6 linked regions of the Mus musculus genome follow. The protein of the gene in region 2 interacts with the protein of the main gene of each other region in a biochemical or structural test. Links are inferred from orthologs where the notes say so. Each region holds a gene or a part of one and is shown on either strand. Other genes may lie near its edges. The genes, in order: Pten, Pdgfrb, Ptpn6, Ptprj, Plcg1 and Slc9a3r2.

Region 1 (4,924 bases), on a different chromosome or scaffold from region 2:
CAGCAACTTCTCTTCACGTAGAAAAAGTAAGGTAATAAGACAAACGCTTGGCAAACACTTCCTGGTCCCTCTGCAGAAGACACTAAACCTTTTATCACTAGTTCTGTCTGTTTCACTCATGCCTCCTCCTCCTCGGGCTGGAGACTGAAGGCAATCCTGCACTCTAGCTTGAGAAAAACACTACACCACCAAGACAGAGCTGCAGCCCCACTGCAGATCCTCACAAGTACCTTGATCTCATCAGATTTAAAATAACTTAAAAGCAAAGTGATAATATTTATATCTCCAAATCTCAAATGCACTCTGGGTATGAACAACTAAAGAAAATCCAAACAAAGTACATTCCATCGCTCTAGCAACATCTGCCAAGTCACAGAGCTGGCTGTACTACCCCTCCTACATCACAACTGTCTATACAACATGGGCCTGTCCTTAAAACACAGCTGAAGTTCCTAGAATTATCGTGACACCAATAGTCCAAGTCTATTACATCCCATTCAAGATCCTGTGACAGCCAATCACATCTTCTATTTCTCGTCCAGTTCTTCTGCTGTGTTTCGGTCACCTTATTTCTACTGCCTGTAATATTTCCTTCACACTCAATGCCAATCCAAACTGCATGTGTTCTCCAGTGACCGACTTTCTTCATGAAATTGTTTCCAAAACCTTTTGTGAACATGGCAGTTATAATTTATACATATGAATCTCATGAGCTTTATTTTAATATAACTTCAACATATAGTGTTAAATCCCAGCACATAAATAAGTAACTAGAAATTTTTAAAGATTAAAAAGAATTTAGTAGTCAATATTTTTTAAGCGTAGAGATGCAAACATAATGTTGTCCGACTAAAAGCCCAACAGCAGTTTAATCAATAAGCAAAGTAGAGCTGACAAAAAGTCAGTACCTAGTGAGATTCCTGAGCAGAGCTTTTCCGTATTGCCTCCATACCGCCTTTACAGCTCTATATTGATGCCTAAACTATAGGAAGAACATGAGTTCCTATCCCCTTTCCTTCTCAATGAACCTAGTGAAGTTCCTAGGTCAATTGCTTTCAATAGTCCATTGTGCCTTGTACTCACACTTTTAAAATTATACTAATATACTTAATCAGTATGGAAGTTCCTTAGAACTTTCCAACAAGCTATATAAATAAATTAGGGGCCCTTAACAAAGTTGCCATACTCATGGGCAATCACACCTATCTGACGAAGAAACTGATTCTCTACATAAAAATTATTTTAGAAAGAACAAGTTAATTTAATGAAGTATTTCATGGAGGCGAAAAACTAAAATCACTGACAAACTGCAAACATCCATAAAATAATATCAAGGGATTCTAATAAGTGACATCTGATACTATGACGTTATATTGAAAATACAAATAAAATATCTTAAGTGTAAAACATGACTGACCACTCCCAGGTGTCACTAAGGTAAGAGAAATTACTACAAGCACACACTGATGTCATGACGTCATACTTACCAAGATTTCTTTATTTTACTAACAAGCAAACTCAGTGAGGAGATGACAAGTCCAAGCCACAGGCTGAGAGCTTGACTTCAAAGCTACACTTAGGTTTTCTCCACACATCCCAATTCACACACCCTTTTATTCTCTATATTTGAAGGGCTCCTCTCTTTCTGTCTCTGACAGTGAACATGTTTCCCTCTGATGAGGACCTGGTTGTAGCCAGAGGCCATTCTCACACTGATCTGTCAAGAGTGTCTCTCAGATTCTCACACTGATCTGTCAAGAGTCTCTCGGTTATTTTGTCAGAACAGAGACTGCATCTGGTGGTTATAACATAGAATATTTCTCCCATAAATATAATTGACTTGAAGAACACCAAAATTGCCAGGTGTGGTGGCTCACACCTTTAATCCCAGCACTTGGGAGGCAGAGGCAGGCAGATTTCTGAGTTCAGGGACAGCCTGGTCTACAAAGTGAGTTCCAGGACAGCCAGGGCGATACAGAGAAACCCTGTCTCGAAAAACATAAAAACAAACAAACAAAAAAAGAACACCAAAATTCATTGGGTTAGCTTTCTTAACCCAGTGAGTTGAACAACTGAACTAATTAATTCCAACTTCAGAAATATACTCCTTTTAACCTGGTAAATGTATTTCTAAACATTTACATATACATTTAGATATGGTTTTAAAAAGTTTTCCGACACACAGACAGCTAAGAATTTAGAGCACTTACTGCAAGTTCCGCCACTGAACATTGGAATAGTTTCAAACATCATCTTGTGAAACAGCAGTGCCACGGGTCTGTAATCCAGGTGATTTTTTAGCAGGTAGCTATAATAATATACATAGCGCCTCTGACTGGGAATTGTGACTCCCTGATAGGCCCAGGGGGCAGAGGGAGGAGGGAGACAAAAGAAAAAGAGAAGTCAAATTCAAAAGGAAAGTTTCATTAAAGTTATTATACAAAATTGCTATAACTGGGTTATCCCAAAGTTTCTCCTTTAAGTGGCTAACAATCAAATCTAACTCAGTATTAGAATAAATAAGAGCAATAACAAAAGAATATTCTTAAAATGTAGTTATTAAATACCTCATTTATTCAAATATTAAATAATGCTCTGATCTATGAACCCAATAAGCAAAGGCCACTGTGTATTCAAACAGACAGTCAATGGTCTCTGTACTGCAGCTACACATACCCAAGTCTCCTCTCAAAGATGGGTTTACTAGGCAAGTCTTCACAAACCTGTTTACATACTTTCTAAGCAAAATCATATCAGAATCAGTACACTAGAGAAACGTGTTGCCTCTGTGCAGGAAAAATGAGATTCTGACCTTAGAGTCCAAAAAAAAAAGGAAAAGAGAGAGTATGCAGCTGAATGATAAACATATTCAATACAACTTGTTAACAGAGGCAGTAAGGGGTATCGGTATCCTTGTGCTATATCCACTCCTTGCAGACATTAGGGAAGCATAAAATGGCTTAGAAAATATTACAAATATTTAAAAGACATAATTCATATGACATTTAAAAGGGGACCCTAACCAGGAATGGTGTCCCACACCTGTAATCCTACCACTAAAGGGGATGAAGCAGAGGACTGTTCCGAACCAGCCCAGGGTTTATATAGTTCCAGGCCAGCCGGAAACCAGTCAATCAATCAATCAATCGCATGTATGACCCAAAACCCATGCATATGTTTTTTTCTTAGTTCTTGAAATATTTTGTGAGTGTTTTGCCATATGTATACCTGGTGCCCACAGAAACCAGAAGGCATGCCATGAAACTGGAGTTACAGATGTTTGTAAGCCATTGTGTGGGTACTGGGAGTTAACCTGGGTCCTCTGCAAGAACAACAGTGCTTTAAACCAGCTATCACTTCAGCCAACCTAGCCCATGCCTATATACATTTTTTAAGGTACCACGTAACCATATATATGCCTAAAACTTCGGCATGGGGGAGCAGAGACAGGCAGATTCTTGGGATTCACAGGCTGGCCTAGCCTACTTGGTGAATTCCAGACCAATTAGAGACCCTGTCTGAACAAGATAGATGGCACCAGAGGATGGACATCCAAGGAACATACAGACACATACATATATACATATAGACACACACACACAAAGACATACATACCATATGTGTAACAATTCATTCACTAATGAGTTAATATTTTTCTATTCACAATATAACAGTAAAAAAGTCAATATAAGGCAAATAATAAGCATTTAATCTAACAGTTTAAAGTAAACAGCAGTTTTGGCATGGCAGTACCCTCTTGTAATCTCGGTACTTGGGTACAACCAAAATCGTAAGTTTAAGGCCAGCTTGACCTATGTGAGGCCCAGTCTCAACAAACAGAATTGCAGAAAATAGGTATTTTATGTTAATAAGAAAAAGGTATTACAATGCTCTTTAGTTTACTGATGGCCTCTCAACTTCTACTGTGATAAGGACTCTAGACACAGACACCCTTCTGCTGGGGAAGAAGACAGCATACAAGCTAAGAAGTATAGAAGGAATACGATGTCTAGCAAATACAGGTATATGAACTCTGACCCCACCCTCTTCCCCTCTCTCTGTCTTTCTCTGTTTCTCTGCTCCATATGTGTATCAAAATGGATAAGTGGCAGTATACAACTTTAATTCCAGAATTCAGGAGGAAGAAAGAAGCTGGTGGATCTCTGTGCATTCCAAGCCAACAGGGCTACAAAGAGAGACCCCGTCTCAAAAACAAAAACAAACAAACAAAAATGGATATAAACCACTTGAAATCATGATTGGCAATTTAAGACTTTGGCTAGAGTGAAAAATCACATACTAAATAGTCAAAGCTTATATTTGAATTCTGAGAAAATATAAACTTCCAATTTGCTTCTTTAAAAAAATTAATACAATAATACAAACCTCCTTAATAGAATTTACATGAGGATAAACCAGCAAATTCAGTTATATAAAAGAAGTTAAAATAAACAAAAAAATATAGTAGCTGATAATGTTCAGATGGCATTTCTCCTGCTCTCTAGCTTTTGGTACACATTTCACACTTGTGTACAGCAATAAACAGATTCTCAAGTGATGGGAAGGACACCTATTATCACAAGCATTTATATGCTCATCCTTTTGAAAAAAGCTGGGTTGATATGTAAGTAAACAATTCTCAGATCAACAGCAGTTGTGTGAATAGAGCTCACAGAGCTCACAGGCAGTGGTGATACAGAGGGAAGCTTGCACCATACTAAGGCCTAGGCAGCAAGGCGAGGCCAGAGCATCGTACACCCCTAGGACTTAACTGCCTAGCTAAACACAAACATGTGCTACATTATTCATCTTTGAGACAGTTACAAAAACCCAGATTTAACCCTAAACACTATTAAAAAAAACACCAGTTCTCTTTCTTGTAGTCAATGTTCGATTTGCTAGCCCAAATAGTTCAGCATTTCCT
Region 2 (4,924 bases):
GGGGACTATTCTAGGACTGGTGGGGCTGAAAGGAGTGGGTGCTTCCTGTGGCCAGGTGTGCCCTGAGTGCCCAGGCAGGGCTGCAGGCCAGAGCATTCTGTACTCGGCCTACCTTCACCACTAACAGCATTCATTAAGCATGGCTGGCCCCAGACCAGCTCGGGCCTGGGAAAGCTAAGACCAGGGGAGGTGGGCTCTGAATGAAAAGACCTTGTCCAAGGCTGGTTACAGTTTGGCCAGGAGCCAGACACCAGGTCCTTGCCTGATTCTTAGGAAGATCAAAGTAGAGCAATCCAGCTGAGGGGCAGCTGCTACACAGGAGGATATGAACACACCACCGTACAGTCGTGGATTTCTGCAGGAATCCGGGCTCCAGACCTGTCCTGTAGCCAAGTACAACTCTTCCTCTTACATTTGGGGAAACTGAGTCCCCTGGAGGAACCCTGGTTCAGAGTCCCATGACCTTCCCGAGGCAGAGTTCTCTTGCCTCCTAAGCTAAGCTGGGTCCCTGGACCTTGAGTGCTGCAAACCAAGGGCTTTCCTCGAGGGGACAGCTTGTGGCAGTGTAGCTGCTGGGAGGCCAGGCCAGGCCAGGCCAGGCCAAGAGGGTTGGGTTCTGGGAGGCAGAAGGGAGATTCGGGCAAAATGGAGTGATGTCAGTTCCTACAGGAAGCTGTCCTCTGCTTCAGCCAGAGGTCCTGGGCAGCCTGAATCCTGTGGCTGCTCCAGTTGTGCCTCAGGCTCTGCTTGCTGTGGCTCTTCTTGGAGCTCCAGGGGACTGTCGCAGGAGATGGTGGAGGAAGTGTTGACTTCATTCAAGGTGGAACTAGAGGAAGGGAATAAGTCAGAAAGGAACCGGGGAAACCCCAAGAAGATAACAGCATTATCTAAGAGGTTTCCGTGTGTTGTCTTTACACACTGAGAGGCCTGTACCCCAAGGGGAGCACAGCTCAGAGAGGTTATGTCATGGCTCCACCACACACAGCGGGTGAGTACAGGGAGCTAGAACTTGAGAGCGGGAAGACCAGGCTCTCAAGTTTCTGTCTCATCCCCGCTTGTCAGGAATCCATCTTTGTGCTCAGGGAGATGACAGTATCTCAGTCCTCCCCTAGGGCTGTTTTCACCTTACAGAAAAGGAAACTGAGGTTTGTGGAGGCGGAGCATCTGGTCTGAGGTCACGAGACAAAGTGACCTCGCAGTGAACTCTTGAGTTGACCCTGCTCAGCCTAACACCACCCCTACCCACCTCCCAGCCCCACACCCACCCCATGCCCGCCTGACAATGCCTGTCTCATTAACGAGAGGCAAATGAGACCTTCAGGGCCTGCAAAGGCCTTTATGCACTGCTAGTTCCTACAGAGAAACTGAGGCCCTCAGAGACAAGGCCTATCCAAGTTTCATAGTGACGGGCTAGAAACAGAAGCCAGCCTGTGTCTCCTACCACTCATCCATGAGCTAGGTCTTGATTTTGGGGAGTTCCCTCTCTGGCTGAACATCAATCCAGGAAAGGCATAGGGCTCCCCAGAATGCATCCCTTAGTGGGCTCTACTATAACCCAAGGCAGACCATGTCTCCCTTCCCCTGTCTGAGTTCTAACCTGGATTTGCAGCTCTTCCATCTTCTACAAACAGGCTACCTGGATATGGTGTCAAGGGCAGCCATAACCCCAAGTAACAGTTGGGAAATGCTAAATGTTTCCTCTTTGTCCTCGGGACTAGCACAAGACCTAGAAAGGGTCCTGTAGTTGTGATGTCCTTAAAAGGAAGAGCTATCTTGCAAATGGGTTCTAGAATAACTTGTTTCTTTCCAGTCTGCCTTTCTTACCTGCAGCTCTAAGTGCTGAGTAAACTTCAGCCTTACTAGCCACTGGCAAGAGTTAGTCCTTACTCTAGCTAGCTGACAGTCCTTCTGTGGCAAGTCTGGTTACACACACACACACACATGAACACACGCACTATATGCATGAGTGCCTGGGGCCAAAGGGTCAGGGTGGCTACCTGGCAAGGCTGGGGGACCCCTCTGGGAGACCTTCATCAGCAACGTCAGGCTTGGGGTCAGGTAAGGGGATGATGTAGTCATTGTCACTCTCATTGGGCTGCACGGCAGTGTAGAGAACAGAGCTGGTGTCCAGAGGGGATCGGAGGCTGTGGATCCCCGGAAAGCGGGCTTGGGACCTCAGGATGGCAGGATGGTCACTCCTCAGGAACTCCTCATCTACCTGCTGGTACTTCTGCTCCGTAGGACAGGGAATGAAAAAGGAGTTTGATGGGCAATGTCTTAGAAACCCTATACCCTCGTTTATGCTCAGAGAATGAGGTCCTACACAAAGCTGCCCTGGTGAGCAGCCTTCCTACCTGGCATCCCAAGACAAGTTCAGAGTTCCCTAGGGAGGGCAGGTAGTCAAGCATAGTAGCCAGGCACGGTAGCCAGATTACCATGACCCTAACTCCCAACCCACTTCAGACTAAACAGATATGGGCTCCCATACTACTATGGTCTCCCACAACCTCCTGTTGTGGCTGCAGGTCAGTGTCCCTTGCAATGAAACAGTGATGGCTTCTCTTTGTCTCTATCTCCCTAGGACCACCCCAGATGGGAAGACAAGAAGCTGAGGTCCGGACAGACTCGTCCTGTCAGACTTGCGTGAACCTGGAACAAGGTTCAAGTAGTTGCTGTGCGGGTTCCAGAGAGTCTGGGGTTGCTCACACTTCCGAAGGAACCCCAGTGTTGTCAGGGTTCACAGGTTTGACAGACAGGATTATCTACTGCACCTCTCTTGGACAGATCAATCAGCTTCCACATTTTTTGATTCTTTTAGAATAAATAAGTAGTTCTGGCTCAACCCTTTCTAGCACCAGCAGAGAAACCCAGGCCCAGAGCCTGGGTGAGGATCATTTCCTCCCCAAATCCCAGCACATTACATCAAGCCAACTGCACAGGGTTTGGATGAGAACTCTGTCTTCCACCCTGCCTTGGCTCCACATACCTTTTTATAGCCTTCACCCAGAAGCCTCTCCAGGAGCAGCACCAGCTGGGAGAAGGGGGGTCGAGTCTCAAACTTTTCTTCCCAGCATTTCTGCATGATCTCATAGCTGAGGGAGGCAGAGAGAGAGTCAGAGTCCCCTCTGCAGAGGCAGGGCTGTGGAGTGCACAGCCTCAGAACAAGGTGCAGGGAGAGATGCTGGGGGAGGAGCTCCCGACGCCTTGTTTATCCTATCATTGCTTCTTACTGATCTCTTGGGAAGTCTTCCCAGCTTCCCCCATTCACATGATTCAGCAGAGTCTAAGGCATCATGGGGAAGAACACTGTAACCTGAATTTGGCCAATAGGGATTCTCATCCTCCCAACTCAGCACCAGTTCTGATGGTATGTGACCAAACTGAGCCCTTAAAAGCTCAGCGCTGGTCTTTTGCTGGAGCAATGCAAGCAGTAAGGTATTGTGGTGCTAATGGTAGCCACATGAGCAGGGCAGGCTTGAATTTGAAGCCAGCATAGAGAAAGTGGAGACCTGGTCTGGGACCGAACTTCCTGGTGGTGCCATTTTGAACACCTTGATCCAGTTCTAGCAATACTCATTTAACCTTTGAACTAGAGTTGCATGCCCCCCTGGAATCCTCAAATTCCTCCCAAATGCACTAGGTTCCACTCACATCTCGTCGGAGGCATGAGCAGGCTGGGCCATGCGGTAGCCCCTCTTGATGGCATTGTAGAACTGGTCGTTCATGGGCAGCTCTGGGTAAGGGGTGCCACCTGTCATGGAACAGAGACAGGGACATACTGTCTCAGGATGTGGGGAGTGGCAAGGTGTCCTCTCAGGCATGCTATACTGTCTTGGCATATATGAGAACACAATGCCCTTGGCATTGGAAAATAGACTCCACACAGAGATGGAAACAGAGAAGCAATAGATATCTAAGCAGGGTTTGTTTGTGTTTGTGTTTCTTCTCTTTGATTTTTAAAGATGGAGTCTAGGTAGCTCAGGCTGGCCTCAAACTTTCCATTTTCCTGCTTCCCATATCCTGAGATTACAGCTATACACCATTACAGCGGCTTCAAGCATGTTTTTGATATGTCTAATCCCTTTGATACTTGGATGGGAAAATAAAGACCCAGAGTTGGCAGAGGACTTGCCAAAGCCTTAGAATTAGAAGAGTGGCACTGTCTGGACTTGCCCCTAAGTCCTGGCTCATGTCTGAGCATCTGTCCCACAGTCCTCTACTTCCAGGCCGAGGAGCAATCAGGAGGGAGATAGAAGTGGAAGGGTAGATGCTCTGGTGCATAGCTTGGGGCTAGGGGAAGAAGTGGCTCACCCAGTGTGAAGATCTCCCAGAGTAGGATCCCAAAAGACCAGACATCACTCAAAGTGGTGTAGAGGCTGTTGAAGATGCTCTCTGGGGCCATCCACTTCAGAGGCAGGAAGGTCTGAAGAAGTGAAGACAGGCACTGAGCACATAGAGTCTCTAGCCAGTCCACCCCTGGGAAGGAGGAGGCTCAGCAGCTCCCACACCAATTCCTTCTCACTCCACTCTAAGGCTCTAAGCACACTCCTGGCCAGAGCATTGGGAAGCTGTTTCCTAACTCACTGTCTAGAGACCTGGTAGCCTGTAACCCTGGGGGAAGCCCCAAGAGTGTGCTATGCCTTGAAGTGGGTAGCCAGGGACATGCCCAAGGTCTCTGGGGTCTGTAGTTATTCTAACACTGGACTTCAAGACCTGTCTTACCATATCATTTGGGTTACTCCTCTGTTCACCTTACATCTCTGTCTATACCTCTTCCTGCTCACCTGGGGCCCACTGTAGCTGGTCCTGATTCAGCCCCCACTGTGACATGTGGTCCTGACCCTCTCCCCATCTTTTCCCACTGTGCACAAAGCTAGGTGGCTCTTTGTCCAGCCTCTGCTCATAGCTGAGCAGCACTGGCATC
Region 3 (5,519 bases), on a different chromosome or scaffold from region 2:
GACAAAATGAAGTGTCCCCATGAAACAGACTGAGTTAAAAGGAGGGACAGAAAAACGTAGATTGACCCAAACCACAGAAGGCAGTGGGTGTCAAGAGGAGACACAAGTCCAGAAGGACTGATGGAAAACGCATTTGTGGGAGGGGGAGGCACAAATATCCCACTGAGGAGAGAGTAGTTTCAGGGTTCCAGAGGTTCAAAGGGGCTCCAAGGAGCTCCGAGGGGCTGCAGGGCAGAAAGCAGAACTAAGGACCGGTCCGTGAAGGTCCTCTTCCCAGGAGGAAACTGTAGCCCCACAATGCCTAGCCTCACAGGAAACCACGTGATGGAAAAAACACAAAACTCCTTCTGGGGAGAGAGTGAGAAGTGAGGTTGTGAGGTTTCTTCAGCTCGGGGGGTGGGGGGGAGAGCATTTTCCAACCGCAAGGATTGGGGGGGGGGTGGAGTGGGGCTCAGTCCTCTTGGTCCTTCTCAACTCTGTCCAGAGGACACCATAGCTCAAGGCCTTCAGAGGTTCCTACCCCAACCCAGGCCTCCTGGGCCATCCTAGCCCACCTCAGGAACAGGCCAGAGACCCCAAGCAATGTGAGGGGGCTCAGCTCCTTCCCTCAGGGACAGGATGAGGAAGTCTCCATGCAAATGTGAACAGACCACAGGCAGAGAGTTCACTATTGAGGGGACAAATGCAAATTTCCCAGAAGAGGAGGGGCAAAGAGAGGAGCCATTGGGTCATGGCTTCCACACACACTAAGGTTAGGGATGAGACAGCTTCTTCCCAAATGGCCATCCAAAGTGTCCCTTGGAGTCCTCCGCAGCCCTGTCAGAGGGTATCATCCACAGGGTGTCCTGTGCTTCCCCACTGCCCTGGCCTGTTCTCCTAACACCTGTTTAGCTCCCACCTCCTTCCTGATCACAGGGAACACTGCAGCCACCATTCAGCTGTACCTCCATGGTCTACTCTAGCAGGGCGCATCCTGGCTTGAGTCAGCAACAAAGAGAAAACAAGGGGCTCAAAGCGAATCTGAGAGAGAGGCCAAACCATCCTGAGGGCTGCAGGTAGGATAGGAGAGGAGAGACAACCTGGGGCAGGCCCTCCCTTCCCACTCACCAGCAGAAGAGGAAAGCCTTCTAGGGAGTGTCCTCCAGCTTCTTTGTTTGTTTGTTTGTGGTTTTCTTTGTGTTTTGAGGGTTTTTTTTGGTTGGTTGTTTGTTTGTTTGTTTGGGTTGGAGTTTTTTTGTTGTTTTGTTTGGGGGTTTTGGTTTTTCAAGACAAGGTTTCTCTGTGGAGCCCTGGCTGTACTGGAACTTACTTGATAGACCAGGCTGGCCTTGAACTTCCAGACATCCACCTTCCCCTGCCTCTTTTGAGTGCTGGGATAAAAGGCCTATGGTACCACCTCCACTCCGCTTGTTTTAGTTTAAGTCAAGGTCTCATGGAGCCCTATCCGGCCTCAAACTTGCTATGGAATGGAGGATAAACTTGACCTTCTTCTGGTCTTCCTGCCTCCACCTGGGCTCACAGGCACGTGTCACTCACACTAGGTTTATGCACGACAGGGAATAGAACCCAGTGTTTAATGCATGGCAGGCAAGCACTCACCACCTGAGCCACAGTCCCTAGACCTTCAGTCCTCAGTTTTAGTCAGTAACTTGTGAACAAAACTATTGAGCTAAGTTTGTAGGCACGAATCTCAAAACAGACTTTAAAACTGCGTGGAAGGTAGCTAGTGGCAAAGCGCTCACTCAACTCAGACAAGGCCCCGGGTTCAGGCCCCAGCAGAGAAGGGTGTGGGGATCAAGTTCGGAATCATTTCAACTGTAAATACACAGACACAGGACAGGAACAGGTACGCAGAGCCCCAGAGTCCATAAGAAAACCCTGAGTTAATAGGGGTTGCCAGTCAGTCCCTGTGCTATACAGCTAAGACGAGCCCCAGTGTAATGAATGAGGGACATTTATCTCCATAACCTTCCCTTTGCACATGCTCTGAGAAGACCACAAGAGAACAGCCAGCCCAGCTATGGGGGCCGTGTCTTTGCAGCACTAGTTGGGGATATCCTGAGGGTCTCCTTAAGTCAGATAAGCCTGGGCCCTTCTCTACCTGTGACCACCTCAGCGACCTTGCTTTCACCAAGCTCTGTCCAGCCCCACCTCAGTGTGATGCTGAGAGAAGTCCCTGAGTACCCCAGTACCAGTGGACCTCTAAGACCTTATTAAGACAGGGACCTAGAGCCCCAGGCTGTGTAGAGGGCTGGAAGAAGGCACCAGAGTTCCATGGTAGGACAAGCTTTCTAGTAATAGGGCCGACCTGATGAGAAACACCAGAGACAAGGAGTGGCCTCTCTGTTACTCTCAGGATGAGGTTGCTAGGCAGCAGGAACCCTGCAGGAAGGCAAGGGGAACCCTTCTCTGGCTTCCTCAGGGGACAGGGGATTGGTTAGATACATGGGAATCATCAGCCTACAGAGGGAAGAGGCTGAGAACACTGAGAGAACAGGTGTGGAAGATCAGGGATGAAGAACGGACTGGGAACAGAAGGACACCTGGTCTGGATGTCCACTTATCTCAAGGGACAGGGCCAACCTGCAATGCCCCTCACCTCTCACTGGTGGGGTCCGAGCAGTTCAGTGGGTACTTAAGGTGGATGATGGTGCCATCTCGGTCCTGCAGGATGCCCTGCTGCTGCGTGTAATACTCGACCAGCTCTGTCAGCGTCGCAAACTTCTCCCCTCCGTACAGGTCATAGAAGTCCCCTGAGTTCTGGATCCGAATATGAGTCACCTGATCATCCACCCTGCGAGGCACCACCAGGTAGTGAGATACATGAGCAGCAGCGGGGTGGGCTTGGGGGGACAGGGGTCTCGATGCAAAAGCACATAGGCATGGAGTAGACATAGACAGTTATGGGCACATGCTAGGGCGACAGGCAGGGACAGAAGGGAAGAAATGTATCATGAGGAGACAACACAACCCAGGGAACCCAGGAATGCTCCGGACCCACACAATGAGCTGCCAAGGTGCAGGGAGGGCCACCCACCTGACTGAGAGGGAGAAGTCACCCTGGTTCTTGCGGCTGGGCCGAGCCAGGAAGCTCCCAGGGACTCCCCGGCCCTTCAGCAGGGTCTCTGCATCAGGCCCGCTGAGGTCCCGGTGAAACCACCTAAAAGTGCACAGGGCAGTGAGGGAATATCCCCAGGGCTCCAGCCACCCTTGTTTCCTATCCTCCATGGGTCCCAGGCCCTTACCTCACCATCCTGGGGTTCTCACTGAATTGGCTGCAGAAAATGTGGAGGGAACAGTTTGTCTGGGCAGGCACGTACAAACTCTAGAGATGAGCCTCAGGCAAGGCTCTCAGAGCCCAGGCCTCCAAAGCCAACCTGCAGTCCTGCTCCCCGGGCTACCACTCTACTGGCCTGGGGCAGCCAGCAGGGCGGAGACAGGAAGGGGCGCGGCCGACCCCTTAGGGGAACTCACTAGAACTTCTCTTTTCAGAGCGAGGGAAGAGGAGCTGGAGGGTGGCAGGGTGGGGGAGGGCCCACTTCCCACAGTCTGCCAACAAAGGCACAGGGGCAAGGCAGTAAATATTCATGACTCAAGAGGTAAGGCACACGTGTGGCAGGTCAAGAGTCACGCACAGTGAATATCCACATTATCAGGTCAACCCTTCCTCCTCCAGCAGCTGCCTCTACTCAGAATTATTCTTAGGCACAGTCTAATAATGATCGTGTGCAGTGGCACCGTCATTTAATGGAGTGTCGCAGCCTGCCAGACTCATTGCTACAATGTCATTTTCATGCCTCCTGTGAGTTACAGGTCACCAGGGCCTCATTCCTCAGGCACTATCTTTATCCCCACTTCACAGACAAGGAAACTGAGGCCAAGAAGTTTGAGGAATTGCCCCCAGGTCTTACCCTTAGTGAGTTGCAGGATTCAGACCTAAATAGTTTCAAAGCCAATGACTTTTGAATTCTGCTTGCCAGCCCTCAGGACCCAAAGAACAGTAGTCAATAGACTCCTTGTCCAAAGGAGATGCTATCATCACAGCTGAGAGCCCCCACAAAGCAACCTTGTGCAGCTCTGTCATCATGGGCCTAGGCCTCCTTCCTATACCCTGACTGTCAGCAGGGAGGGGTGGGGTGGGAAGGTATCTCCTAAAGGTTAGGGTTTATGGCCAGGGTCCCAACAAGGGCAGACGCTCACAGGGAGGGCTTTAAACTTTAGGAGCGCTCAGCCTTCAGGCTTATGGGACCTTGTGTATGTAAACCCCAGGATGAATACAAAAAAAGATGCAAATACTACCAAGCCAAGACCAGAGGGGAAACAAGCTGCCCAATTTATATTGGTATCTTCCTTAGCAAGGGACACAGGCTGCTGGAGAAGGGAGATGGGACAGAGCACCTTATATCTTTTAAGGGTTTATTGTCTGAGGTGTTTTGATTGGTTAGTTTTGGTTTGTTTGTTTGTTTGTTTGTTTGTTTGTTTTATAATACTGAAATTAGAACCCCAGTCCTAGCTGGGCATGGTAACCCATGCCTTTAATCCCAACACTTGGGAGGCATAGGCAGGCAGCTCTCTGTGAGTTTGAGGCCAACTTGGTCTATACAGTGAGTTCCAGGATATCTAGCGCTATATAGTGAGACCTGTTTCAACAACAAGAACAACAAAACCAACCCAGACTCTCAGTCCCTTAAACAGTGTGAGGAGCATCCTTGGGCAGGCATCCTTGGGCAGTGTACATCTTCCACCCTATTTCTTTTCCTTATTCATTTGATTCCCTTCACACTTCTGCAGTCCTAGGGTTTGAACTTAGGACCTCAAACTCGCAAGGCAAAGGCTCAACCACAGAGTCACACCCCCTGTTAGTTCTCTTTTTACTTTTTTGGAGATAGGGTCTAGCTAAATTGCCCAGGCTAATCTGGAACTCACTCTGTAGCCTTGAATTTGTAATCTCCCTGCCTCCACCTCTCCAGTAGCTGGAGGTTGCCACCACATCTGGCTCCCTTACACTTCTTTAAAACTGAATGATGCGGCTCGATGGTAACATAAGGCCCTCTCTCTGCTCCAAGCCCAGTAGTTTCATGAGTGAGTGTATAGTTAGTTGTATGCTTAATATTTATTCACAGTATATAGTCATATCTCAAAGTATAGGAGAAGTAAGAGACGATAAAACCCAAACATGGCTAGAGTGTGGCTCTGTGTAAAATGCTTGCTTAGCATTTGGGTGGGAAACCCTGGCCTTCACCACCAACAGTCTTGCTGGATGCCATGTCACACATCTGTAATTCCAGCACATGGAAGACAGAGGTAAGGGGATGAGAACAAACCTGAAGCCAGCCTGGGCTTCATAAAGAGTTCCAAGCCAGCCAGGGCTATATAGCAAGCCCCTGGTGTGTGTGGGGGGGGGGGGGTGGGGGGGGGGGAGCTGGTTTTGTTTTGTTTAACAGTCTATGACGAGTACTTTATCATTATTGAAAACATCAAATATTACTTAACCTTCCTGCCTCTCTCCCTCCCACCCT
Region 4 (4,027 bases), on a different chromosome or scaffold from region 2:
AACTGCCCAGAATATATTCTTCCCCCTAACCCTACTTCCTAGACGCTAGGACCTAAAGGAAGGCCTTAGTTACTTTTAGCTTGTGTAGTACTTTGGATCCCACACCTCCCAGGCTGATGTGTTTGAATATTTGGTCACCAGACAGGGACGTTGCTTTGAAAGGTCATGGAATCTTCAGGGAGCAGAGCCTTGCTGGAGGAAGTCGATCACTACCTGGTGGGCCTTAAGGTTTCATACCTGGTTCCACTTCCTGTCTGCCCTCTGCTCTCTGCTTCCTCTATGACCAGCTGCCCAAGGCCCTGCCACCATCCCTTTTCAGCCATGGTGGGCTGTATCTCCTCTGCTGTGAGTCAAAAGAAGTTCCTTCTTGTCAGGCTTGGTTACAGCAGCCAGAGATGGAACTGGCACAGCAGGTGGCGCTATAGAACGTTTTGAATATGCACATGCGTACATCTGTGGTCTCCTTTGAAAAGACTGGATGCTCTTATGAGGTTTGCTTTTACGGCACCTAGCCTTTTTTTTTTTTTTTTTTTTTCCTGCCACAGCATATACTTCCTCTATTTAAACAGCGACCTGTAGATTCTGATAGATACACTTGTATTAGTGTTACTTTTTTGTTGTTGTTGTTTTGTTTTTTGTTTTTTTGAGACAGGGTTTCTCTGTATAGTCCTGGCTGTCCTGGAACTCATTTTGTAGATCAGGCTGGCCTCGAACTCAGAAATCTGCTTGCCTCTGCCTCCCGAGTGCTGGGATTAAAGGCGTGCGCCACCACCACCCGACATTAGTTATTTTTTTGAAAACAATAATTGTGTGTAAGTTTATTTTGCCTCATGGTTTGGGGTACAGTTTTTCATGGTAAGCCACTGTGATATAACTGTGGCAGCAGTAGGATGACCCTGGCCACATTCTGCCTGCAGTAAGGCAGGAGAGAGATGACTGTTGGTACGCAACCCCCTTCATTTCTCACTTGCTGCAGACCTCCGCCCCACATTCAGGATGTGTCGTCTGTCCCTCATCAGGTGACCCTCTCCTCTAATGACCTCCTAGTCACACGGAGGAGTGTCTTCTAGGTGATTCTCAATTTCATCCAGCTGACAGTTAAGATTAGTCTTCACGCTACCCCGAGGAGGGGGCTGCACTCAGGTCCAGCTGATGCCCTTTAACCCTTCTCCTCTTTAGAGAGTCCTTCCGGTTTACTCTCACTCCACGCGGATTCCTTAACTTTCACTGTCCTGCGGTATTTATGCTTGATTTCCTCTGCATCTTCATTTCACCCTCCATAAGGTTCTGATGTTTCCTTGATATGAAGACGTGAGGGTGCCCGCTCTGGTTAAGTGTCACTGGTAAAGAAGGCTGTGTTATGTGCTTTTTGAATGTCATTAGGTTGTTTATAGATCACGGATGTGTTGGACAGATGGGATCATGGTGAGTTTTCCTTTAAGAATCGTCTCGTGTTCTCATTCCTGGGGCTGGTGCTTATTCTTCTCTCTCATTTCCTTTCCCACCAGGACCAGTATGTTTTCCTCAATCAGTGTGTTTTGGATATTATCAGAGCCCAGAAAGACTCAAAAGTTGATCTCATCTATCAGAACACAACGGCAATGACAATCTATGAAAACCTCGAGCCAGTGAGCATGTTTGGAAAGACTAATGGTTACATCGCCTAGTTCCAAAGCAAACCCTTTCTGAAGCTAACCGGACCGTCACACCCACAGTGAAGGAGAGCGCCCTGACGGGACATGTTTTATATGTCTCCTTTCTCAGTTCTTTGTTCTGTTCTGTTAGAACTACTTGGAGGGCATGGGGCTGTGCGTGCAAAAGCATGGCAGATAGCCAGTGGGGTGTCAGGGGCTGTGGACGGGTGGTGTGGAAATCAGCTGCCTTCCTGATCACTAATGGGATGGGTTCACTTTTTGTTTTTTTCCTTGAGAATTGTGGAAAACCAGGAAAAGTGAGCTATGTTTTGTTTTCCAAACTGGTTTGTTCTCCTCTTTTCTCCCCTTGTCTCCCCCCTCTCTCTCCCCCCTACCTCTCTGTTTTTTTTTTTTTTCAAGACTTTTATATGATTCACATGCTAAAGCCAGGATTATGTTGGGTTGAATATATTTTAAGTATCAGAGGTCTATTTTTACCTACTGTATCTTGGAATCTAGCCGATGGAAATGCGTGACTGTGGGTGTTTCTCACGCAGGGAGGGGCACATGGCGCCTCTTCTGCGTGGGTTTCTATTTGAACATGTGCCTTTTCTGAATTATGCTTCCATGGGCAAAACTCAGTAGATGTCTCTATTTTTATATTGAATCTCAGAATTGGAATATACAGACTATTTAAGCAGTAGCTTAGCATCAGAGAGTCGCCTCCTCAGTAACATTCCGGCTCCCATTCGATTAGAGGAGGCTCTCTCTGCGGCCCACCCTTGACACACGTTTGTGCCCCACAGTCCCCTTCCCTTTCTTTCTTTTCCCCTCCCAGTTTTCGCCAAAGACTTGTGTTGGTGAGATTTTCATCCCATTGGTTGGGTGAGAATAGAAATGTAAACCATCATCATGAGACTCTCTGTGGGTGGGGGTGGGGAGGAAGAGAGGAATCAACATACCATGGTGTGCACCCCTTCTCATCCCGTCTCCTCCTTTCTCTCCTTTCTGTCTTTGGTAAGAAGGATTATTTAAAGGTGCAATATGTGACGTAGTGGTTCACGATGCTCTGGGTTCTTAGTAATGTTTTACTCAGGTTGTCATTTTATGTATGTGTGTGTGTCTGTGTGTCTGTGTGTGTCTCTGTGTGTTTTATAGCGTGGTGATCTGTGAACATTTCAGTGTGAACTCAGAATAACCCCTTTTCCCCTCGAAGTCCACTGGCTTTAGTCTATCTGCAGTGACACACATCAGTATCTACTGTATATATAAATACTAAACTCTTACACCAGTCATTCCTATGAATTGAGGTGTACAAAGTTTGATTTGTATCAAAGATGTAATTATTATTTTTAAAACCTCTTTTCACTACACTGCTGCTGTAATTACTTTGAATTTTTAAAGAAAAAAAATGTAGTTTTTTTTTTTTTTTTGGCTTCAGGTGTGTATTCACCAAGAATTTCAGAATTTATGTGGTTTTATTTTATTGGTACATAATCTGTAAACTTCTCAAGGCATTAACATGACAAGATTTGTGTCTTTTATTTTATCTTGTGGCTCAGGTTATATTTGAAGAAGTTTCAAGTTTATCTTCTAGTAGGCAATGAAGTCTATATAAGGTCTTATGAAGGAATCGCCAGGTCCCTGGACTCCTGTGGCTGTTTTCCACAGTAACAACACATCCTGCTGTATGTTTGGGACAATGGTATCCTGTTGAAGATGAGGGTGGGTCTTCTCCAAGGACCTGGCCACTGTGGGCCCCGGAACTGCCTTCTGATGTTCTGCCTTCTCTGTTCCTCGTGTCACCAGCACTTTGATGGCTGACTGGACCTGATCATGAGTATTTGTAGGGTTAGAGAGGGTGACCCATAATTGAAAGTCCCCTGCTGTGTTTCAGCGCTGTAGTGCTGTGGTGTGTACCCCCCCCCCCCTTTTCCTTTGCGGTACTGAAAGGATTGAAAGAAGAGGGTCATGGCATTGTCATGCTTTGGGGGAGAATTTTACTTCTCACATGGAAACTGCACTTTTTTTTTTCTAAATCCTTTGCATTTTGATGTTCATTTAGTGTACAGCCCTACAGAGAATGGGCTGGCCCAGGTAGCTTGGGCCCCTTGACTCAACTTCACTGGGGAACTTGACTCTGCAGTTGTGAATCAGGGAAGCCATGCTGTCTCCAGGTGTGGAGTGAAGCTGACCTTGGGCTCATTATTTCCAAATGCCCTGTCAGGTCTGTCTAGGATGTGCTGACTTCGGGGTGCTATACAGAGGGGCCTGTCCTGGCAATAGTTCTGTGCACCACCTCTCTGCCTCCTCAGTTTGTTAGGAACCATTGTAGAGGGTGGTGAGGGGTCCAATCCCATGCAGCGCCTATGCCCTGCCTCATCTGCCAGAAA
Region 5 (4,924 bases), on a different chromosome or scaffold from region 2:
GCCCAGAATACAGAAATATAAGCCCCAAGCAGTAGGGAACCCCTCCTTCCTTGTGGCTTCCTGTGCCAAGCACAGATATTTACCTTGAAAGTTGGCATAGGGTTTGCCTCCACATAGAAACCAGGGTTGCGGCCCTCGTATAGTGCCCCATAATCGGGTTCCTGGAAACAGGACACATTGTGATCTATCACCATCCCAGAACTGAGATAAATGCAGCTGCTAGCTCCCATTGCCCAGTTTCTGAAGCACAGCTGGCCTCTTCTACAGGACATTTGCCCCAGCTCATTGGCCCCTGGCCTACAGGAATCCCCCTCCTCATCTTCCAAGGGGAGGGTGCCTGTAGGGACTTGATCCACACTCCTTTTGCACTCTTACCCCACATCCACCACTGTGGCTCCTGCAGCCGGAGCTCCCTGCTGCCGAGCTGCCAGCAACACCACATACTTAATGTTTGTTCAGTGGCTGAGCTCACGGTCAGGAAGTAGCCCAGCACACCTCTCCTGACTTCAGGGAACAGCATGACCCTGACCAGGTTATCGTGTCACAACTGACAACTCGCAACCAATCCTGTGTGAGATGCCTGCCTTCTATTAAAAACCACAACACTGATCCAAGACCCTTGCACTACCAAGCCACGGTCTTCCCTCCAGAGCCTTCCCACAGAACAAACACATCTATACAATTGTACCTACTCTGCCCCATACACTCCAGACCCAGTCCATGTGAGCTCCTAGACCTTGCCACCTACCGCTTAGTTCATGGGGACTTTGTCTGAATACCCAGGCACGGCTCAGGTGCCATTTCCTCCAGCTACACACCATAGTTCCCAGTTACTCCTAGCGCTCTCATGTGAACTTGAAAATACCCCAAGATGAGTTTTCAACACATTCAGACAGTGGTACATTGTGAATGTCCTCTAACTATACTGGGATCCCTGCCCCCCATCCCCGCCATTCTCACAGCTGTCCCGATCTTCTCCAGTGCCTCCTCGTTGATGGGGTAGCGTAGCTTCATTTTGCGGTACAGGGGGTGCTTCTCATAGTAGCTGATGAGGTCAACCAGGCTGTCAAACTCAGAGTTCCCCAGCATCACTGTCTGGCCTTCCTGCTGTACTCGGCAGTGCTTGATCTTTCCCTCAGCCCTTCACAATGACAGGACAGTCAGCAAGGAAGACAGCCCGGACCCCAACAAGAACCCACAGCTGTCCAGCATGCCTCACCGGAAAGAGATGGCATATGAGTTAGGCTCATTGCGTTTCCGCACCAGGAAGGCCCCATCCCGGGGCACTCGCATCAGCATATGTTCAGCCTGAGCTCTAGTCAGGCTTGCGTGGTACCACCTGAAAACCAACAGAGTTAGGCCCTGGCCAATCAGTCCTACCATTACCCCTGCTCCCCTCCCTGTCCCTGCCCTCACTCTTTGCTCTCATGGGCATTCGTCTGTGGAACAGGCTCTGAAAGGCGCATCTCAAACTCATTGCAGCGCAGGGGTACTTGCTGATAATGTGTGATGAGGTCATAGAGAGAGTCAAAGACAAGGTTATCTGTCAAGAAGAACTTAGGAGTCCCAGCATCCTGCCGGGAGTGGATGCGGCAGTGCTGGACTTTCCCATTCCGCCTGAGGGAAGACAGGATGGGAGAGGCGTCAAAAGCAGGTCAGAGCTCCAAAGAATACATAACTAGGCAAGGCATAACATTTCAAAAAGGGAGGCCATTCTCCAAAGAAGCTTGGAGGAAGACATACACATCAAACATACATGTTTAAGTTCACACATGCCTGTGTAAGAATGAATTGTGTTTTATGGAAAACCTAGACCCAAGGCTAAAATGTTAACCAATTATGTCTAGGTATAGTAGACTAAACATGGGTATAGTGCTGGATGTGGGTTACCAGAAAGACAGCGTGTAGTCACCCACGAAGGTCTCACTTTCTCGCACTAGGAAGGAGCCATCAGGAGCCCCAGTCTCTATGCAGTACTCAGTGAGCAGGCGCTCAGCAATGTGCCGCCCGTCACGTCCAGCCCCGAGCTTCCCGTGGAACCACTTCTCACTCGAGTGCAGCTCTGTGCTGCTGCTGGCCTAGACAGGATGACAGCAAAGATACCCAGTGACTGTCACGTTCTCATTCAGCTGACCCCATGCCCCTCAACAATTCTACCTCCTTCGGCTCCTCTTCATCCTCATTGCCCTGGTCACTGCTGGTCTCCTCAGAGTAGTAGATCTTGCTGCTAGTCAGAACGAAGTAGTGGGGATACCACTCCTGGAGGAGACCAAAGGGGACCTGTAAGCCAGAGTTCAACACACTGCCCCACCATGTCCAGGCTCAGCTAGACCTCACATGATTCACGGGGTCCTCCAAGTAGAGGATACCATTCTTGATGGAGTTACTGATGTCATTCTCGGAGTACATCACAGAGGTAGGCACCTCCTCATAGGCACTGCCCTCAGCCAGCTTCTTGTGCTGTGGAAGCAGACCAGGTCATGGCAAAAACCATTCCACACCTAGCCCATCTCCTAATTCAAGGTTTCTCCTGGCAACGATGTCACACCTTAATAAGGATCTTCCTCCTGAGCTGGTTGGGAGAAGGAAGGCCATCAGCAGCAATGTCCACAGGCTTGGTAAGGAGTGTGTCGCCAAGCACCTTTCTGAAGTGCTGAGCCATGTTTCTCTGCTGGGCAATGCTGCAGTGGTCCTCGATGGACAGGATGACTGGGTACCTGAAGGCAAAGGGCCAGGACAGTAACACTGCTGCTACGGTTATTGTGATTCAAATCTCAGTCCAAACAGTTCCTTACAGAGTGAAATAATGGGAGTCAAGGGCCTGGGGCACCTTATCCACAGGACCCCTCTGAAGAGAGGGAGCCCTGGAGTTGGGGTGGGGGCACATCAGGAGGCAGTGGGAACCAAGAAGAGGCAAGTGTTGCAGAGGGGGAGCCTCGTGAGTTGCTGGCCTAGCAAAAGACATTCCACACAAAATAGGTCAGGAAGGATGAGAATTAGCCCCCAGTGCAGCTTGTGGATCCTTTCAGTGCAGTGGGGACTGTGGGCCTGGTGGCAGCTAGCAACTGAGATGGCTCATAGGAAACATTCTCTTCTGGGCAATGAAGGAGATGGAGATAACCTGAGACCACAGCTACAGGCATGTTTTTGAGAATGAGATGCACTTCAGTGCTACCCAGAGAAGCAGGGAGCAGAGGCAAGAACTCAGGAAACTGGCTGGAGTAAGAGCAGAGGAGACTGGAAGAATGGGAGCAAGCCATGCAAGCAGGGGATCCTAGGAGTAAAAGGACCTTCTGGAGGCTGCCCGTGATCTGCACGCCTACTCACTCTGAGGCTACGAAAGCATGCTCCTTGATGGTGTGCAGGACGTCAGAGAACTTGATCTTGGTGGTGAGAGTGTGCCCATGGTAAATGACTGGCATCCCATCTGGCCCATCCCAGCAGTCCACTAGAGAACAATATCACACAGTCAAACAGGCAGGCCTCTCACCTTCCCTCTCCAAACCTTAGACCCAACGTACACTCAATGCAGCGACAGCCCATCCTCAGGCAGCGAGCATAGGCTTCCAGGGAGGACTCACTGGAGAACTGGTCCCCAGTCAGGTACCTGGATAAGCAAGGAGAGGTACATATGGTCTGGAGGGCCTTCCTCCCTCCTTAGGAAGGGTTGGATGAGCAAAAAGAGGCTTACTCACGTATTATGTGAGGAGGAGATCCAATAGTGAGAGAGTGGGTTGTTCATGGTGTCCGGGCACACAGCATCCAGCTGTGAGTTCCACACGCTGTTCTCTTTGGAGAACAGGAAGGTGACAAGCTACAAGGATAAATGTGGAGGAGAAAGTGAATGAGTGCTGGCTGCCACTTGGGATGGAAGTAGGTACAAGAATGTGCTGAGTCTCGACTCCACTGGCAAAGTAGGCAGTAGAGTGCATGCACAGCTTTTAGAGCACAGGTCAGCTCTGGTCACCCACCCCACCTGCTTTCTCTAACAGAATGGTGGGAAAGGTGAGGCTCACCTCATCCAAGAAGAAGTATGGCTCCTCAATCTCTCGCAAGGGGTCTCGAAGGAAGCTGAGCATGAATTCCTGCACCTGGAGCCGGTCGACAGCCCACAGCTCCTGCCAGGTAAAGAAGTCATGGAGGAGGCCACCAATGATGAAGCCACCCTGCAGCCTAACTCCCTGGCCCAGACATACCCCCTGGTATTCAAGGAGGAACTGCTGGAACTCAGAAAGGGACACCTGGCAATGCTCCGGACGCTCTCCAGTCCTGTAGGGAGAAAACCTAGTGTCTGGCACTGGCTGACAAAGGGCCCCCGTCTAGTGTAGATACCCAGTGGTTTATTATGCCCCATCCCCATCTACCCACTGCTTCCCACCTGGATCTGAAACCACCCAGAGAAAAAGCCCAATTGGCTGTTCCAAACCAAACCTCAAAGCGTTGGTTTCCAAGAAGGGAAGGTCCATCTGCAGAGAACAGAATCTGGTCAGGAGGAGCCCTGGGAGGCCATGCAGGAAAGGGGCTCTTAAGAAAAGGCTAGGGAGCAGATGCCCCGGGGGAGGGGTGTGTGTGGCTAGAGTAATGGCACCAAAACCACTCCAAAGCAGGGCAGCAGGGCTATGAGAGAAGGCAGAGGAGTTGGGCCAAGGACAGGGAGGGTGGGAGGTTCATGCACCGTCTTCTGGGCGCTGTACATGAGGCTGCGGTACAGCTGAGCAAACTGCCCGTAGGTGATGTCCCCGCTGCGCTGTTCAAGGTCCTACATAGTACAGAGCAAAACTGCCAGTCAAGCCCCTTAGGAGGAGTCACTGGCCTCCCCTTCCTTGCCAGAGGATAGCCCCAAGTGTCCATTACCGTCAGCCGCTCTCGGAGGAAGCGCATATTGGGGACTCGGTAGTTGACCTGAGACAGCATGTTCTTCAAG
Region 6 (5,390 bases), on a different chromosome or scaffold from region 2:
GGGACAGTAGCACAAAGGGTTTCTGCACAGGTGGGAAGTGGGAGTGAGGACAGGAACTGGAACCCAGCTGAGCTGTAAGTGGGTCCTCATAAGAAGCGCCTGCATGTGTGTCCTTGCCTTGACCTCCTTTCCCTAGGAAGCCCCTGTGTTCTGGAACCCACCCACTCCACCCACCCCCATCGCTGCTCGGCTACAGCAGCGGCAGGATCTAACCCACCCAAGGGCTTCAGAGCACATAGATGGCTTAGGCTGGACGCTTCAGACAGAGACATGGACAAAACCCAGGACGACAGACACCCAACACGGACATGCATCCTTTAAAGTCCCAGCAGCTCCTCTCAGAGCTCCTTAGTCCCTGGAACCTCCAGCAAAGGGGACAAAGGCAGACAAGTTGCTGCAGTGCTCACCAGCAGCATAGAGAGCGGTTACTGCAGTAGGTAAAGAGCCCTAAGAGGAAATGGAGGCTTATAGAAGTGACCAAAAGGAAGATTGTTATCAAGGGGCAGGGATTGTAGTTCTGGGAAAGGCTCATTGTTCCCACAGACACAGCCTACCATACCTTCTGGCCAGTGTCCGAGCCAAGGCTGCCCGAGCATGCCCAGTCCGGCTTTGGCTCCCAGGGGTTGTGGGCTGGGGGAAGCCCTCGATGGGCCATCTCCTCAGTGCAGGTCAGTTGCCGCCGGCAGAGCTCCTCATCGGTCTCCTTGTCCACCACAAGCAGCTGGGTCTGCCCCTCCACAGCCTTGATCCTCTGTACCACCTGGAACGGGTGCGAAGCAGGGACCCGGTCAGCAGCCAACACCCCAGGCAGCACATGGGTAGGGCATCACTCCCGGCTAGGCCAAGACTCATGGACAGAGGGGCAGGGGTTGGCCTGCCAGGGGTGGGTAGCTGGCCTGAGAGGCCTGCAGGCTCCACCCCCCACCCCCAGTTTCTAGCAGTTCCCTCCCTCTTCTCCCTGTAGCTAGGGCCCAGGCTGCAAGTACTTCAGGATTCTCTTGTGGCCTTGCACCCAGCTCAGGTGAGCACAGGAAGACTGCTTGGAACAGCCAGATGGGAGAGTCCAAATCTGTTCAGTTGAGCTTCAGGATTTCAATCTGGTCTATGCATGTGTGCAGGCTTATCTCTCTCTCTCTCTCTCTCTCTCTCTGTGTGTGTGTGTGTGTGTGTGTGTGTGTGTGTGTGTGTGTGTGTGTGTGTGTGTGTATTTTAAAGTCTGTTCTTTGGTCCAGGGGTAGGAGAGAGCAATGTCTTTGTTGGCCCCAGTGTGAGTATTTGGGCTTATTTCTTTCTTGGAGATGCAGTGTGAATCTAATGCCCAACAAGTTCTAGAACCTCAATTTGCCTCCAGATCAGGACTAGAAACCCATCCCTGCTGGACCTGCAAAGAGGTGAAGACAATTCTAAGGTGCTCACATCCATCAGGTACAGCAGCAGAGCAGATGTGGCTTTACAGCCATCTGTGTGTCTATCTGCCTGGGTGTCTGTGAGGTGTGGGACACCGTGGACCGTGCAAGATCCACTCCTACAGCCTGGGAGTGAAGAGATGGCTTCTCTAGCACATGCCACCACAGATAAGAAGGCCCTACCTGGGCCCATCTCTACCTGGCCCCTCAGTGCTCATCCTCTCTCCCCATAACCAACAGAGCAGAGGGATGCCAGCTCTCTGATGCTTCTGCCATGGGAGCCAAGCCAGTCACCACAGTCGCTACCAGCAGAATGGGGGTCGTGGTTTTGGCTCCTATCTCTCTGAGCAGTAGGAGTTTAATGTGGCTCTAGGTGAAGGTCTTTAGAGACCTGGGATAAACAGGTACATTTCAGCGACTGCAAGAGGCATATGACATCAACTCTGCCAGTCTCTCCCTTGCTTTTTAAGCCAACCACTGGGCTTCACTCCCAAACTCTTCAGCACACAACCAAATCCAGGGGTCACTGTAGTCTACCTACTGGTCGCTGGGGAGATAGAAGTTCAACTCAGTCCAGCAAGGAACCACTGCTTTCTCCAGGCCTCAGGACTAACCACTCCCATAGGTCATGGACTTAGTGGTACTAGGGTTCCAGAACAGAAAAGGTGGAGGGAGGCTGAAGTGTAACCATGGTCTTAACTGTATCTACCCCTCAGCGGGATACAGACACTCCAGAGGTAGAACCTGCAGAGAGACCAGTGGATCATCTCTCCTCCTTCCTCCTGCTGCAGCAGGCAAGGGCTATACAGTGACCTCTACAGGGCCAGGCAGCCGCCCAGAAAAAGGCTTTTTCTGAGCCCAAGGAATCGCTGCTACTAGAGCCAACTCCACCAGATCCAGACACACAAGCCCATGAAAAGTACACTAGTGTAACCAGGTAAGCAGGCGCAAGCGCGTGCACGCACACGCACACTCACATGCACACACACACAGAGAGAGAGAGAGAGAGAGAGAGAGAGAGAGAGAGAGAGAGAGAGAGAGAGAGAGACCAGCACACATGCCTGATGTGTCCACACAACCCTAGACACACATTCCAGCCCTGACACAAGTATGTTTTCATCCACTCCTGGAACACTTGGGTAGTGTATTCATATGGATGACCCCAGAGAGACCTGAGAGCACACACACATAACTCACACACTGACAGAAAAGCATCTATACCACAAGGCCACAAGGTGCCTTAGCCACCTCCTCCCCCTCCATGGCACACGGAGGCCAAAACTAGCAGAAGCAGCCAGGGCCCTGGCCAGAGTAGCCGCAGTGCGGCCCCTCCCTACCAGGATGTCCTCCCTCCCCCGCTTGTGCAGGACTGAGCTTCCTCACCAGGAGGCCAGCTGGCGGGCCACGTCCCACACCTCGACACCCAAACAGCAGGCCCCCATGGGACCCCTGCAGGGTCCCACCATACGGCACGCAGAAGGGTGGTCGTAGGCATCTTGGCCAGCGCTGTAGGGACGCGCCCCTAGGAGGGAACCGGGGGGCGGGGCGCAGCGCAGGGACCCACCTGGTGATGCGTCTCGCCCTCTACGTTGACGCCGTTGACCTCAACCAGGCGGTCCCCGGCGCGCAGCGCGGCCGCCTCGGCTGGGGAGCCTGGCTCCACGCGCCGGATGAACTGGCCACGGCGGCCTTTCTCGCCATGCAGGTGAAAGCCGTACCCTTGCTCTCCGCGCACCAGGCGACACAAGCGGGGCCGCAGCGATTCCAGCGCGGCCATGGCACCCGCTGCCCCCTGGCCGGCCGCGACTGGCCACGGCTCACACCACCCGCAGGCTGGAGTGCGGAGGCGGCGGAGGCGCGGGCGGGAGAGCAGGCAGCGGCCTCGGTGGCTCCTGCTCAGCTCGCGTCGCCTCGGGCTCCGGCTTCGGCTCTGGCCCTGGCCCCTGCTCCTGCTGCAGCGCCGCCCCCGCGCCCGCCCCTTCCCCGCCCTCCTGGCTGCCCCCGCCCTAACCCAAGCCCCGCTAGCTAGGCCCCTGCCTGGGCGCCCAGAAACCCTAGGACCAAGGAGTGGGATTGCTTGGTCAGGCAACCCTCGAGTCCCTGGGAGTCCTATCTTAACCCATTTTGGCCACCCTCCGTAGCGCCAGCACCTTTGACTTCTGTCCAGGAACCACTTTTTTGGACACCTGCATATGGTACAGTGAGAGAGGTTCCAGAAATGGGAAGCCTCTTGTCAGAGACACTCTACACAGAGGCCAGAGGGGAAGTGCAAGGGCCACTGCGCCCTTTCCTCGGGATGCACCCCACCCTCTACCTACCAGGAGTGTTCTGCCTGCTCCCTCTAGATCCCCGAAGTTGTCTTGTCCCGACCCAAAGAGCAACAGGCAAGAATAAGAATTTAAAGAGACACCACGGCAACCAAGGTCTTTGTCTTTAGGCAACCAAGGACAGCAAATAGGTGTCCCCTTGTTCTTCCCAGGAAGTGTTTGTCCATTAAACATCCTGTCTCCTGTATTCCCTGCTTTTTGGGAACATGAGTTTATCTGGCAGAAATGGGAGGTGTGTGCTGTCTTCCTCTTGACCTAGTATGAACCGTACTGAGGACTTTGGTCCCTGAGCTCTAGGTGGTGATCAGCTGTCCCAAATTAAGCCCCACAGGGCTCCCAACGCCGGTTCCTAAGTCTATAGTCCCAATGCACTTAGATTTACAATTGATGAAATTCTCATCTACTCTTACAGGAAAATAGTCCCACTGAAAACCCCTTATGCATTCCTATATGGTTTTCCAAAAAACAGCCCTAGAGAAAACTGACCATTTTACAGATCAGGAAACTGAGGCCTAGAGAAAACCCTCTGCTAGAGTCCAGTACTGTGAGACTGCACTTTCACCTTGAAGCATCCTCCCAACACATAAGACAGCTGAGATCCAGGCTTACCCACAGCCTGCTTCTCCCCAGCCCACAGCTCCTCACTTACCTGGTCCCCCGGCGTCAGGTACAGCCAGCTCAGACAGTTCCCCATGTGGATAGGAGAAGCAGTCCTAGCTCAGTGTTCTCCTCTCCCTCCCCTCTCTCCAGAACCCTTAGCTGAGGCTTTCAACCCCCACCCAAGCACTAGGACCCACCTCTCAGCAGCAGCCCCTTGGGTACCCACACCCTAGCTGCTGCTCCTAAAAGGCACTTAGGCTGAGGATACTTTGTTGCTCCCTGCCTCCAGCCCTCTCTTCAGATTCTAGCTGATGCTGCCACAGGCCTGACTGACCACTTCCATCTATCTGTCTGCCTGCTTATCCAAAGAGTTTGTCTTTCTAGCTTAGGATTGGTTTCACTGAGCCTGGCGTAATGCTGGTTGCCCATGGAGATGGTTAATGTGTATAAACTATGTATATCCCATCCGTGTGAAACTTGGAAGTTATCCCCAGAATAACCAGGAACCTGCCAGACCTGCTAACAGCATCTTTGTGGTCACACTAAAGAGGTTGGCAAGATGGGAGATCTCTAAGCCAGGAATTGAGGAAGGTAGGGGACCTTTTCCCACCCCAACCTCGGGCCCTTCACTGGCTCTCTGTCACCAAAGACTCAGCCCATGACTAAAAATAGGATGGGGGCTTGGGGGAGGGAGGAATAAGGGCAGGAACATGTAGTCTCAGAGGGGCCAGGAGCCAAGGATGATACAGCTCTGCAGTCACAGAGTAATAGCAAAGGAGTTCCTAAAGCGAAAGGGCTGGAAAGTGCCAAGGAAGGTGACAGAAAGGAAGTCTTAGCCCATCAGTGGGCTTGAGCCACAAAGGAAGCCTGGACCAGCAGTGTGAAACAGCAAGGAAGGGAAGCCAGGCCGCCACCAGAAGTCAGCACCTCTGTGGTCTTTGTAGCCAGCCTGGATAGAATATTTCAAAAACAAGAGCAAACAATGGGGCCAGAGAGATGGTGCCTCTGTTGAGAGGACCAGGGTTTGATTCCCAGCAGCCTTCAGGCAGCTTCCAAC

What was found.
Region 1: the proteins of Pdgfrb (region 2) and Pten form a complex in vitro, tested with the Homo sapiens proteins (2 studies listed by BioGRID and IntAct, with this or other methods). The link is inferred for Mus musculus from reciprocal best matches to the Homo sapiens genes PDGFRB and PTEN.
Region 3: the proteins of Pdgfrb (region 2) and Ptpn6 form a complex in vitro, tested with the Homo sapiens proteins (2 studies listed by BioGRID and IntAct, with this or other methods). The link is inferred for Mus musculus from reciprocal best matches to the Homo sapiens genes PDGFRB and PTPN6.
Region 4: of the proteins of Pdgfrb (region 2) and Ptprj, one has a biochemical effect on the other in vitro, tested with the Homo sapiens proteins (2 studies listed by IntAct). The link is inferred for Mus musculus from reciprocal best matches to the Homo sapiens genes PDGFRB and PTPRJ.
Region 5: the proteins of Pdgfrb (region 2) and Plcg1 form a complex in vitro, tested with the Homo sapiens proteins (3 studies listed by BioGRID and IntAct, with this or other methods). The link is inferred for Mus musculus from reciprocal best matches to the Homo sapiens genes PDGFRB and PLCG1.
Region 6: the proteins of Pdgfrb (region 2) and Slc9a3r2 form a complex in vitro, tested with the Homo sapiens proteins (2 studies listed by BioGRID and IntAct, with this or other methods). The link is inferred for Mus musculus from reciprocal best matches to the Homo sapiens genes PDGFRB and NHERF2.

The regions. Positions count from the first base shown.
Region 1 is NC_000085.6:32,809,124-32,814,047, reverse strand, and holds part of Pten (phosphatidylinositol 3,4,5-trisphosphate 3-phosphatase and dual-specificity protein phosphatase PTEN), read right to left. Parts: intron 2,353-4,924; coding exon 2,211-2,352; intron 1-2,210. UniProt on the Homo sapiens protein: Dual-specificity protein phosphatase, dephosphorylating tyrosine-, serine- and threonine-phosphorylated proteins.
Region 2 is NC_000084.6:61,079,123-61,084,046, reverse strand, and holds part of Pdgfrb (platelet-derived growth factor receptor beta isoform 2 precursor), read right to left. Parts: intron 4,424-4,924; coding exon 4,312-4,423; intron 3,752-4,311; coding exon 3,652-3,751; intron 3,093-3,651; coding exon 2,987-3,092; intron 2,231-2,986; coding exon 1,998-2,230; intron 827-1,997; coding exon 664-826; 3' UTR 1-663. UniProt on the Homo sapiens protein: Tyrosine-protein kinase that acts as a cell-surface receptor for homodimeric PDGFB and PDGFD and for heterodimers formed by PDGFA and PDGFB, and plays an essential role in the regulation of embryonic development, cell proliferation, survival, differentiation, chemotaxis and migration.
Region 3 is NC_000072.6:124,729,701-124,735,219, forward strand, and holds the start of Ptpn6 (tyrosine-protein phosphatase non-receptor type 6), read right to left. Parts: upstream 3,455-5,519; 5' UTR 3,254-3,454; coding exon 3,246-3,253; intron 3,161-3,245; coding exon 3,038-3,160; intron 2,795-3,037; coding exon 2,600-2,794; intron 1-2,599. UniProt on the Homo sapiens protein: Tyrosine phosphatase enzyme that plays important roles in controlling immune signaling pathways and fundamental physiological processes such as hematopoiesis.
Region 4 is NC_000068.7:90,434,050-90,438,076, reverse strand, and holds part of Ptprj (receptor-type tyrosine-protein phosphatase eta isoform 1 precursor), read left to right. Parts: intron 1-1,508; coding exon 1,509-1,667; 3' UTR 1,668-4,027. UniProt on the Homo sapiens protein: Tyrosine phosphatase which dephosphorylates or contributes to the dephosphorylation of CTNND1, FLT3, PDGFRB, MET, KDR, LYN, SRC, MAPK1, MAPK3, EGFR, TJP1, OCLN, PIK3R1 and PIK3R2. Plays a role in cell adhesion, migration, proliferation and differentiation.
Region 5 is NC_000068.7:160,750,978-160,755,901, reverse strand, and holds part of Plcg1 (1-phosphatidylinositol 4,5-bisphosphate phosphodiesterase gamma-1), read right to left. Parts: coding exon 4,855-4,924; intron 4,760-4,854; coding exon 4,676-4,759; intron 4,467-4,675; coding exon 4,432-4,466; intron 4,270-4,431; coding exon 4,197-4,269; intron 4,119-4,196; coding exon 4,017-4,118; intron 3,815-4,016; coding exon 3,696-3,814; intron 3,608-3,695; coding exon 3,522-3,607; intron 3,449-3,521; coding exon 3,328-3,448; intron 2,718-3,327; coding exon 2,549-2,717; intron 2,461-2,548; coding exon 2,338-2,460; intron 2,260-2,337; coding exon 2,158-2,259; intron 2,079-2,157; coding exon 1,891-2,078; intron 1,618-1,890; coding exon 1,417-1,617; intron 1,340-1,416; coding exon 1,220-1,339; intron 1,142-1,219; coding exon 961-1,141; intron 162-960; coding exon 84-161; intron 1-83. UniProt on the Homo sapiens protein: Mediates the production of the second messenger molecules diacylglycerol (DAG) and inositol 1,4,5-trisphosphate (IP3). Plays an important role in the regulation of intracellular signaling cascades.
Region 6 is NC_000083.6:24,646,968-24,652,357, forward strand, and holds the start of Slc9a3r2 (Na(+)/H(+) exchange regulatory cofactor NHE-RF2), read right to left. Parts: upstream 3,339-5,390; 5' UTR 3,184-3,338; coding exon 2,971-3,183; intron 761-2,970; coding exon 560-760; intron 1-559.